Caenorhabditis elegans: one gene and its partners. The protein of the gene in region 3 interacts with the protein of the main gene of each other region in a pairwise test. Each region holds a gene or a part of one and is shown on either strand. Other genes may lie near its edges. The genes, in order: pqn-70, srw-86 and rde-4.

Region 1 (4,732 bases), on a different chromosome or scaffold from region 3:
TCAAAACCTTAGAATGTTTAAATACGAAAAATTGAATCGATGCTATAATATAAGACTAGTAAAAATTGTTTGATCGACTTTCAAAATTTGAGAGATGAAAACTGAGTTTTCCTAACTTTTCGACTGTAAAAATTGTACTAATATCCACATGTAAGAGATATTATTTTTATCACTACTAGACAATTCCGCACAAAAATCGAAAAATCGGCAAAAAAACTTGTCTCTGCAATAATGAAAGTGATAGACTGCCATAAAGATATAAAATTTGAATCTTAAAAAGGGATTCGCAGTGCGAACACCTATACAACAAAACTTTATCAGTGAACAAAAAGTGATGGGTGTGTTGCGAGGATTGTCTCGCTTGTCCTGTTAACATATCTCTAAATCTCTGCATATCACATTAGCACTCATTGTCTGCTCCGTATGATTTCAAGTGCTCACACGGTACAGAGCCGGAGTCAGAGTTTTTGAAAAAGATGGCGGAATGCATGAGAACATGTGTTTACTTCTTTTGGAAAATTTATAAAATTATTGTTGAATGTTATTGTATGTAATTTTTATAAAAATAGTTCTTATTATGTAACATCATCAAATCAGTAAGATGAAGACCTCATCAAGTCGAATATCAGAAAGAATGTGCAAGGTTGACTAAAAACTTCTAGATATTTTCCTTTTTTCCATTAAAAATATGCCTCCAAAGAATAACATACAACAATAATTTTATAAATTTTCGCTGTTAGATTGTCCCATAACGGTTTGATCTACAAACAATGGGACATCAGCACGTTCTTAATCATGCGAAATCAGTTGAGGAGATAGTGTCTAAATTCACGCACGCAATTCTAGTAGGTCTAAGTAGAACAAATCGAAATGGGACACTCTGACACCACGTGAGTACCTTAAAATGTATTTAACCGAATTTTGCCGTTAATTTTTGTTTGCTTTCGAATATATATATTTTTTTTAAAAGTATCTTTATCTTTGTTTGACTTATGTGTTTTTTATTGAGATCAAGTTCTACACTTAAGCCAAATATACATTGTCTCATTCCTTATCTACATTTTGACCTCACCATGGTTTTTTCTTTGTTTAAACATGTTTGTTCACTTTTTTCCGTTCATAGAAAAGCCCCTCACAACTCTCTCTATATATATGGTTTTTCGTAAAGAGACACCACCAATTGGGTAGAACGGAAAAGTGAGCTTTTCTATCGTTTAGATACATATTGGAGTAATCCTTTGCTTTTTCTAGCACTTTCCGCTTTGAAAACATTCATTATATTTTAAAATATAAATGCGACCTCGATAATGTCTTAAGAATCGCTAGAGTGGAAATATGTGCATGGTCGAGTTTTAACTTTACAGTTGAGAGCAATTTTTCATTGGATACGACGATAAATTCTGGGTTTTGGGAAAAAATATTAAAAGTTCCATTTTGAAATCAATATTATAAATCTATTTTTTGATGTCTATTTCCCCATATCTCGATATCGCCCACTTCGTATTTCTCAACGAGAAGAGGTGTCTCCTTTCAATTTCCATTTAAAGGGGCGACCAATTCTACCGACTGCAGGTCTCGCAGCGATATCTGCGCCCTCCACCTGATGCGTACTCTTTTTACTCGTTCCGTATCGATCGCCGCTGTGGAGAACACTGAACGAACGCTGTCTCGTGATTAAATAACCAGCCACACGTCTTTCCTTTTACATTTATTTCTTTATTTCTTTATTTCTTCTCGTTTTGTCGCTTTTTACTCATTAAATATTATTTTTTTTTTTACAGAAACTTCGTCGAAATGGGTTCATCTGGAATGGGAGTTGATGCGAATGGAAAGCCAATCAAGAGACAGCCTACAACTAATAATAACAACAAGAAAGCTGGAAACAACAGCAACAACCAGAAAAAAGGAAATAATGTAAGCACTTTCTCATTTAACTTCACTAATATCAAGTTTTCACGATTATATTTCGATTCACTCGTTCTAAAAAATTAAATTGTTTTTTTTCAGCAAAACAACAAAAATAATAAGAACCAGAATGGAGGAAATCGCAACCAAAATCGCCAACATCACCAGCCTCCAATGATGCAAATGGTTCCACCCTTCGGCCCAATGGGACCAGGAGGACCAGGAGGACCAGGATTCATGGGCCCACCGAATGGAAACATGAACTTCTTCAACGGACAAAATCGTCGTAATGGCAGTGGAAAGGTATTTTTGAGGAAAATCCTTGTTTCTCCTGTTCTTCGCAATGTCTTGGACGCTTTATATCAGTTTCTTCAAATCTTGAGCCAGCCCACCGGATTCTCTAAGTTAGACCTAAATATATAGCGATCAAAATGATCAGATAAGTTACCAGAAGATGATTAAAAATAAAATTTGATTATATTACTATTGGGCGATATTTCTGCTGAATTCAGAAATTTAATAATTTTTCACAACATTTTGACGAATTCGTCCATTTCTGGTCGCAGTAAAGAGTCTTGCTTTGACATAGGACTTCAAGATTCTTTCCGACGTACAGGTTTTCTTGATTAGGGCTTTAAAGAAATGTTTTAGAGAATGGAGAAGAATCGTAAATGACGGTGGTGACTGGCTCAATGAATTCTTAATTCGTGTTGCTCAATAAGAGTAAAAATGCTCTCGGATCTTTTGATCCTTTTTATACCACATTCTTCAGGCATATCGGTTTCTTGGCTCTAATCATCAAATGAAAAAAAAACAGTTCTCCATTTTTGTTAATTTCAGATGTATTAATTCAAAAAATTTACTTTTCAATTTCCAAAAAGAGCAAGTGCTCGATGTTTTCTTTCAAATTTTTTTGTTATATTGTTAAATTGAAAAGAAAAACAAAATTTGCATTCACCGTAAAGTGAAACTTTTTTTTTGCGATTTAAAATATTACTAGTTAGATTCACCATATATTTCGGAAGAGTCTCTAGTTCCAAAATCCATGAGTAGTAAATGACGGTCTCTGTCTCCGTTGTATGATACAACTCCTCACTCGATGTATGTAATGAACAAGAAGTTTGCAGAACAACGGCAATAGAAATGGAGCCCCACCTTCAGGTCTAGTTATGTTTTCATAATGAAACGAGTGTCATTTATTTTCTTTTGATTGTTTTCTATCAGAGATTCAAATAATCTCCGTAAAAAATTACTGTTGTTAAAAGGGGACACTCTGACATCTCAAAAGATATTTCGAACTTCAAAAAAAGGCTCTAGACCGCGTGGCTAAAAATATTTTTAGGAAAATAAAAAATGAAGTATAAAAATTGAGGAGATACTAAATTTTGTTCCTAACACAATTCCCAAAAGAAACTTCGATATTTCCATCGAATTCTTTTTAAATAAATAGTCCATCGAGACTTAAAGTTTATTTTTAAAAAATTTGAAAATCAAAGATGATTGTCGCAGTAGTGTCCCCAAACAACATTTACTTTCGAGTCTAAAATTCAAATCCTTGTAGTTTTTTAGTTTTATTAGTAGATCTGCTCTCTTACCAATGAGAGCCAATATGTATTTTCTCTTTTCAACAATATTATTTTCAGGATACAATGGACCATCGGCTAACAATGTGGGACAAGGAGCTATTGGAAATAACATGAACGTAAGAAAACAACTTTTTGATGTTAAAATAATCGTATTTGAATTTAAGGGCGCTCAACCATTTGCTGGACCAGAACCATCAATGGAAGTTCCTGGATTCGGAAAGAACAGCAACATTCATGAACTTTTCGGAAAGATGATCTGGAGAAAAATGGAACAGATCAATGACGCCGCTCTTGTCGATCAACTCCAGAATCGGATAATGAACCTGATCCATGATGCCCTGGCTAGTCAGAACGATAAGCAACAACAACAACAACAGCAGCAACATCAACGTATGTTTTATTTCGGAAAGCAGACGAATTTAAAAAATTTATATTTTCAGAAGGATTCAATCAACAAAGAGGAATGCCGTTCGGAGGACCAGGAAACCAAAATGGACCATTCGGAAACAACGCTGGATTCCAACGTTTTTAAAAGAATAAAATTCTGATCTCTTCTGTTCATCCCTTTAAATGTTATTTTGCTTCTGAAATTTCGAAAAAATGTAATTCTAATCTCCGAACTTTTGTCAGTCTGATTCTCTCTTACACATGTGTTTTATAATAAATCCGATCCGTCCCAATAAGATTCATTTGTTTACAAAAAATGTGGTTTACAGCGAACGAGTCGATGGGCCGAAGGACAGTTGACAAAATGATTGAAATGTCGGGTGGAAAAGTGACACCTCTTCTTTCTAATTCAGACAAGAAAAGAGATATTCTGAGTTTTGTTTGTCTTTCTCGTTTCTCCAATGTTCTCAAGAAAAGTTTATATTTGTTAATTTTCTTTTGTTTATCATTCGAATCAATTGGGTTTTCTTCGTTATCATTGTTTTCAGATGCACTCTTTTCTTCATTAAATGTTAAAATTTTGTATAGATTTCAGATGGAATTATGGAAAAGCTGTATATTTCTGTTTTTAAATTTTTGCATTCAATCTGAAGGTATCGTCAGAACAAGTTACGGCAATTGGAATATTCCAAAAATTGGTGATAGGTAAATATTCAAAAGATCCGGGTTCCGTAAGGACAGACTATCTTTTTTTTAAATCATAAATTTTCAGTCAAAGTTTTGGCAGAATGTCAAATTTTGCAAAAATGCAGATTTTTTGATAAATTCCAATCATTGACACAGGTTCGAAACCA
Region 2 (3,185 bases), on a different chromosome or scaffold from region 3:
TTTTAATGGGTAATAAAATGCAATCGCATGGCACACATAGAAAACATTGCCTATCGAAATGACATCAACGGAGGAAGTGTGTAAAAAATGAGGAAATGATAACCGTCGGAATTTTCGAAATGTTGCGCAACAGTCGAGAAAACAAAGTTGAACCGTTTGTCGTAACACTCGGACCAGTGGCTGACCCCACCTTTTTACTTGAGCTAAATTTATAAAGAACCACTTCGGGGCAAAAGTCGCACAAAATCCTCACACATGGTCCCCCATTTTTTTGGTGTAAGATACCTGTCCAAACTGTCACATGACGCATACTTAAATTAGAACTAAAAATTGTGAGAAATTCCTGCACACGAGCACCCATCTTTCATAATGTTTTAGTCCTTTACCAATTGTCACATAACACATTGGTAAATTTGAATAATTTCGGTTTTTGAAATTACTACTTCAAAAAGTATGAATGGATTTTTAATGACCACACACCACAATGAACTTGGAAATGTTTCTTGCTCGCAAAGTTTAATCTGAAAAAAAAGAGAAAGTGTCCATAAAAATCAATAATGCAAGCGGGGGCGCCCCACTGCAAACGCGAGATTCTCTAAAATTTGCTCCTCGCAATTTTTTTTTGGAAATAATACATTTATCATATATTGCCTAAACAATTATTTATTGAATAGAATTGTTTATAAACATCAATTAGTCGCATCTTGTAAAAGACATGTCTGAAGGAAGAGAAAATAAAATAAAGAAGGTTATAAAATGTAAGTAACGGAAGTTATAGATTTCAAAGGGCTTTACGAAAAGATATAGTTCAATAGTAAGACAACGTTACTATTGAACTATAGTTAAACAACGTTGTAATAATAGTTTACTACGAATTAAAAAAATTAAAGAGTTATAAAGGTTTTTGAGTTGTTAAGAGTACATTCGACGGCAGAATGTTCATGGAGAGGAAACGGTGGCCAATGCTGAAATTTGTTCTTCGCAGATTTTTTTGGTAATAATAAAACTTACTATCCTCAGCATTTTTCAAAAATATTTCAAACTCAGATTTTTTACGTTGAAGAGTCGCAAGGGTTGCCGCACTATAATTCACCACGGCTTTATTTTTAGCGCTTTCTTTCGGGGTAAGGGTCGGTCTGGAGCAATGTTCTTGCATACCCATGATCAATGCAATTTCTTCTTCGAGCTTTTCGAGCCAATCTCTTGCTTCTCCCAAATCGGCGAAACGACTCTCTTTGTTGTTAAATTCGAATGTCAGCATTGCAGATCTCATTCTAAAAAAACCGAATTTTCTGCACAAATAATACAAATTTTGAAAAAGCCACCGCGAAACTAATGAAAATTAAAGAAACAAATGGAAAAAAAAGCAAAACGAAATGATATGTACATTGAATCTAACAAAATATTTCTTAAATTGTATATATACATATAGTATATTTGCCATGGTTAGCTCCGCCCCTCACCGCACACCGTTATTTAGTATCAGTCTCTTCGATGCGTGCCCTACCGTAACTTGCCCGGTGCTGCGTGATTGTCCCGAGGGAGGCAGATGGCAGTTGGTTGGCTAGGTCAAAGGTTTGCTTTCGGTTTATCTGAAACTTGCCTGAAAATATGCAGAAAATCTGAAAGTTGTCTGAAACCCCCAATTTTTCCCAAAATGATGAATGTTTTAAGAGAATCTGCAAATTAATACTGTATTTATCAGAAAGTAGGCGAACACCAATGGTTGATCATTTTACGTAAATTTTCAAAGCTTGTATCACAAACATTTTCTGATAACCTTCTTTCCAGTTTTTCAAAATCCACCTTTGGAACAATAGCAAGTTAAAAAGGAGTTCATCAATCTCTGAGCCTCAAAAATATCCTTCTACTAGTACTGTACTCCATACCCGTAAATGTCTCTTAAAACTTGGAATTGTGTGGAAAAAATAGTCTGAGAAAAAACAAATTCTGATCTATTTTTTTATTGTTTAAATTTCTCTTCTGCTGGTTGGCTTTTTTGTAGACAAAAAGCCTGAAGATATGCCAAAAAACAGTATAAAATCTTTGCACACGATCCTCCATTTCTTCATTTTCACTTATTTTCTACATGACGTATTGTTCTAGTGATTATGAAATTATTATTTGAGAGCATTTAATGAGTTTTTTATTGTCCAACAAAGGAAAAGTTGTTGATTTTCTTCGCACATGTTTTAATAGGTAATAAAATGTAATCGCATGGCACACATAGAAAACATTTCTTATTGAAATGAAATCAACTGAGAAAGTGTGTATGAAATGAGGAAATGATAACTATCGGAATTGTCGAAATGTTGCGCAACCGTCGAGAAAACAAAGTTGAACCGTTTGTCGTAACACTCGGACCAGTGACTGACCCCACCTTTTTATTTAAGCTAAATTTATAAAGAACCACTTCGGGGCAAAAGTCGCACAAAATCCTTTCACATGGTCCCACATTTTTTGATGTAAAAGACCATAACACATTGGTAAATTTAAAAAATTTCGGTTTGTGAAATTACTACTTCACAAAATATGAATGGATTTTTAACGACCACACACCACAATGAACCCCAAAATGTTCTTGCTCACAAAGTTCAATCTGAAAAAAGAGAGAAAGTGTCCATAAAAATCAATAATGCAAGCGGGGGCGCCCCACTGCAAACGCGAGATTCTCGAGAATTTGTTTTTCGCAATTTTTTTGGTAATAACACAACTTATCATCTTCTGCTATTGCCAAAATCTTTAATAATCATTTATTGAAAAGGATTGTTTTTAAACATCAATTAGTCGCATTTCGCAAGAGTCAAAAATTAAAGAATTAGAAAACTTTGAGAATTAGAAAACTTTGAGAATTAGAAAACTTTGAGAATTAGAAAACTTTGAGAATTAGAAAAACTTAAGAATTAAAAAAAAGTAAGAATTAGAAAAATTCTGGAATTAGAAAAATTGAAGAATTAGAAAAATCGAAGAATTAGAAAAATGAAAGAATTAAAACAATTTTGGAATTAGAAAAATTTTAGAATTAGAAACATTTCGGAATTAGAAAAATTAAGAATTAGAAATATTCAAGAGTTATACAAGTTTAAGAATTTAAAAAATTTAGGAATCAGAAAAGAATTATAAAATGATCTTCATAAGGTTTTTAAGTTGTTAAGAGTCACGTTTTGACGGCAGGTTGTTCATGG
Region 3 (3,721 bases):
GGAAAACTTGCATCGTCATATCAATGTGGCGGGTCACGCAATTAAAAAAAACAGATGAGATTTATCATTTGAGAACTTGAAAATGATGATAAATTTTATTGAAACATTTTAACTACGCTGTGAAGGTGAAACAATTTGCGACCGCGACCCACACTCGTTCAAAAATGAGGACGGGCGGCGCGCAGGCCGCACACTTTTTTCTTTTCTTCTCTAAATCTCGCTCTCGTGCACTGCAGAGAATGAGTGTGGAAAAGAGTTTTGTAGAGGTCAGAGGCATAGAGATTACGCATCTTCTATAGAATTCTATTGATGATTGATGGAACCACGTTGGGGAGAAAACGGACAAAGAACATCATTGGTATTTACTGTTTCTATAAGTGATGGAGGTAATGATAAAACACAGCCGCCCGTTGATGGAGTGAGAGCACATTGTCTTCATAGAAATAGAAACCATAACGCACAAAACTGTGACGTTTCGCACACAATCTTACCACGCGGCAGGCACACAAAGAACAATCACAGTAGAATTGACACGAGGAAAAGTAATGGAGGGAGAGAAAACACAAAGAACGACAAAAATATAATTTCGAGTAGTTTCAACTCTGAATGGCATTATTCAAAAAAATATTTAAAAAGGATATAATCATTCAGACGCTTCATTTTTCAGGAATACGCAATAATATTTTCAATCCGTGAAATCATAGGTGTTGAAATGGATAATCGCCGATTTACAAGCACACTGTTTAGCCTCTTCCGCCGATGAACCATGTCCAGCAAACACTAGCGGCCCGGAATCTGGCATATTCTTCTTCCGTAGCTTTTCCTTCTCGGCAGTAGCCTTCATAATTTCTTCAGTCTGGGTGTGTTCTGCTCCCATTTCCAAATCGTCGGGGTCTGGAGAAACTAGACGCCGGAACGAGATTTCCAATAGCACCTGATGTATTCCCATTGTGCTCACTGATAATACGTTGAAATCCATGCTGTAGTCTGAAAATCTTTTCTTGTCCGAGAGTATATCAATCAGTGCGGAATGCTTGTCTTTAATCTTGGATGCTTGATCCTGAATTTCGAGTAAATGTTCAGCTTCTTCCAAATTTTCAATCACATCAACTGAAAGCAGTAAAATTAAATATTAACTACAATTATTTGGAGGCATACCCATATCATATGATTCCAGAGATTCGATACCGTCTTCCAACGCTTTCCACATCAACCATGCTGCAAGATTCTTTGCGTCCTTCTTCTTACTTCTGATTCCTCTGGTTTTTTGATTGCACATCTGAAATTTTTTATTATTTTCGAGTTATTAATTAGCAGTTCTACCGTGCATATAACCAAGAAACGCTCGGTTCTCTCATTCTTGGAATCTTCATAGATTGGGGCTTGCAGCTTGCTTTTTTGAGATTTTTCCTGCAACTTTCCGACCCAATTCTCGGTTGGCGAAATACCAGGTGGAAATTCAGCACTTGTAGGAATCGAATCATCGTTATCGTTATCCTGAACAGCATCTGAAGTTGATCGTTTCAATTCCTCAGCCTTATCCGATATTTGATCACTGAAAACAATTGAAATATAATTCAATTTGATAAACTTGAAAGCATTACATATTCGAAAGAGCTTCTTCTTTGGTTGTTCCAGGAATGAAAAAGATTTCGTGCTTTCCTTTCTCCACAACCTTGCGTAAATATTCAACAGCAGCCTTTTGTCTCGCAGCTTTCTTGCTTGTTGCCTGGCCTTTTACAGTAATTTCATTCAGAATCAACGTCATCTCGAAGCCTTCAGGAAGTTCGACAGTGCCCCAAGTTGGCGTCTTTTGATAGACAGCCTTAGCAGCCTCTTCTAGTACCATGAGGGGAGTTTTCTTCAGAAACATCTCCAAATCTGTTCTGTTTCTTGGCGTTTTGTTATCCTCCGATCGGGAAGGCTTCATAGGAACATCTGATCCACCGAAAACGCTTTCAAACGTTAGTTTGGTTAAATCCATCTATAAATAATATAATTTGAAACAAAAATAATAGCGGATCTCGTTTAAAGAAACGAAAAGAAAAAAACGTTCAATTTTCAAGTTTTGCGGTAATTTCTCATCAAAGGCAACGAGACCGGTGGTACGGTAACACTTGTTTCAACTGTGCGATTTGCTGTGTACTCCTCTCGGATAACGATTGCTTCAATAAAATTTATTTATTTTAATAAAATATATTTTTCAAAGTGATCTTTAAAGTGTTTTCCTTATTTTACAGTTCATTTTTTTAACTTTGAAATTAATTTTTTTATTTTTTTATTTTTGCAGTGAATGTTTTGGTCGCGAGTTCAGTTCGCGGCACGAAGGAGAGAAGACAGTCGACCGCTTTACCGAAGAATCTTCACAAATCGTCGACTTGACATCGCTCATAAGGGTAAGAACATGATTTAGACAACGATTTATTTAATCGAAACATGACGAATATGTTTTCCAAGTTGTAGTACTCAGGCAACTCAAATCTAATATGAAAATATTAAATAGCAATATTTTCGTAGTTGGGTGATATTTCAAGATAAAATCGCAATATTCCGAGACTTATTCGAAATCTTTTTAGATTGAGCAATCTTTTGAGAATATTTCGCAATATTTTGAGGTTGATTCGCAATATTTCTGAATCTGAAAATATTACGAAAAATTCGTAATATTTTGAGATGACATAGCAATCTTTTGAGATTGGTTCGCAATCTTTCTGAAATCTAAAAATATTACAAAAAAATGTGTAATATTCTAAGATTAATTTGCAATCTTTTTGCAGTCCATAAAGATTACGAAACACCATTTCCAAATTTCCATCGGCTTCACATGATCGTGATATATATACAACAATTATGATTACTGTTCCGTTCTAAATTCTCTTTTCTTCCAAATGATAAAAGACTTTTCAAAGTAAAAAACAGCTACATGAAAATCTATATAATGGAGCATCTCACTGTTAACGGATATTTGATTTTTCGTTGCATATTGTAGAAGGAGTTTTTGCAGAGAAAGCCATAGAATTCACAAATCTGTCCACTCATGTAATTTTTTCTAGATAATTGGCCGGTCATATTACAAATTCAGTCAAACAATCACGAAGATTGGTCGAATATATTAAAGTAGACTTACAACTATTCATTCACGCGTGATGCGTTTGAGATTTTCTGATTTCAATTGAAATCATAAAATATTGTCAACAGCAAGCATGTTCCCAGTATACTCATCATTTTAATCAAATTGTTAGTGAAAAAAAATATTGAAAAAATAAAATGTTTTTCTCTCTTTGACAAAAATTCGGAAAAATTGCACATCTAACTTTTTTAAAAGCATAACAAATAAATCGTTTTTCCACATTCGCTTTCAAAGAAAGTTATCCAATTTCGCTCTGACACTTAGAAAATTTGCGAAAAGTCACTGATTTCCCATCAAAGGTAACGAAAAGGACGTGCGCCCATCAACTATTTACTTAAGCAATAACTAAATCTAGATGCGACACGTACAGGATGGCTCAACAGGTAAGATAATGGTTTATAGACTCAACGACAAGCGACGGACAAGTTCAACTCCCCTCAATGGCAACAAAAGTTCTTCGAGTTATCACAAAACAGTTCTAGAATAGTCGATGAATGCATTTTTAATATTTAGAGACAAATTCGCAATATTTTGAGACAAAATCGCAATATTCTGAGACGAAATCTCAATCTTTGCAGATGAAATCTCAAT

Evidence for each region.
Region 1: the proteins of rde-4 (region 3) and pqn-70 interact in a two-hybrid assay, tested with the Caenorhabditis elegans proteins (one study listed by BioGRID).
Region 2: the proteins of rde-4 (region 3) and srw-86 interact in a two-hybrid assay, tested with the Caenorhabditis elegans proteins (one study listed by BioGRID).

What each region holds. Positions count from the first base shown.
Region 1 is NC_003283.11:11,225,753-11,230,484, reverse strand, and holds pqn-70 (Prion-like-(Q/N-rich)-domain-bearing protein), read left to right. Parts: upstream 1-1,781; 5' UTR 1,782-1,794; coding exon 1,795-1,914; intron 1,915-2,007; coding exon 2,008-2,208; exon of another isoform or gene 2,209-3,032; coding exon 3,033-3,066; exon of another isoform or gene 3,067-3,548; coding exon 3,549-3,607; intron 3,608-3,655; coding exon 3,656-3,881; intron 3,882-3,931; coding exon 3,932-4,023; 3' UTR 4,024-4,169; downstream 4,170-4,732. Other genes in the region: bgal-1 (Beta-galactosidase), read left to right, coding at 4,474-4,583.
Region 2 is NC_003283.11:19,399,440-19,402,624, forward strand, and holds srw-86 (PH domain-containing protein), read right to left. Parts: upstream 1,281-3,185; 5' UTR 1,262-1,280; coding exon 1,012-1,261; intron 966-1,011; coding exon 940-965; 3' UTR 638-939; downstream 1-637. Other genes in the region: C25F9.12 (PH domain-containing protein), read right to left, coding at 3,180-3,185.
Region 3 is NC_003281.10:10,216,661-10,220,381, forward strand, and holds rde-4 (DRBM domain-containing protein), read right to left. Parts: upstream 1,987-3,721; 5' UTR 1,985-1,986; coding exon 1,605-1,984; intron 1,556-1,604; coding exon 1,324-1,555; intron 1,280-1,323; coding exon 1,159-1,279; intron 1,111-1,158; coding exon 686-1,110; 3' UTR 642-685; downstream 1-641. Other genes in the region: cox-14 (Cytochrome c oxidase assembly factor 3), read left to right, coding at 2,294-2,396.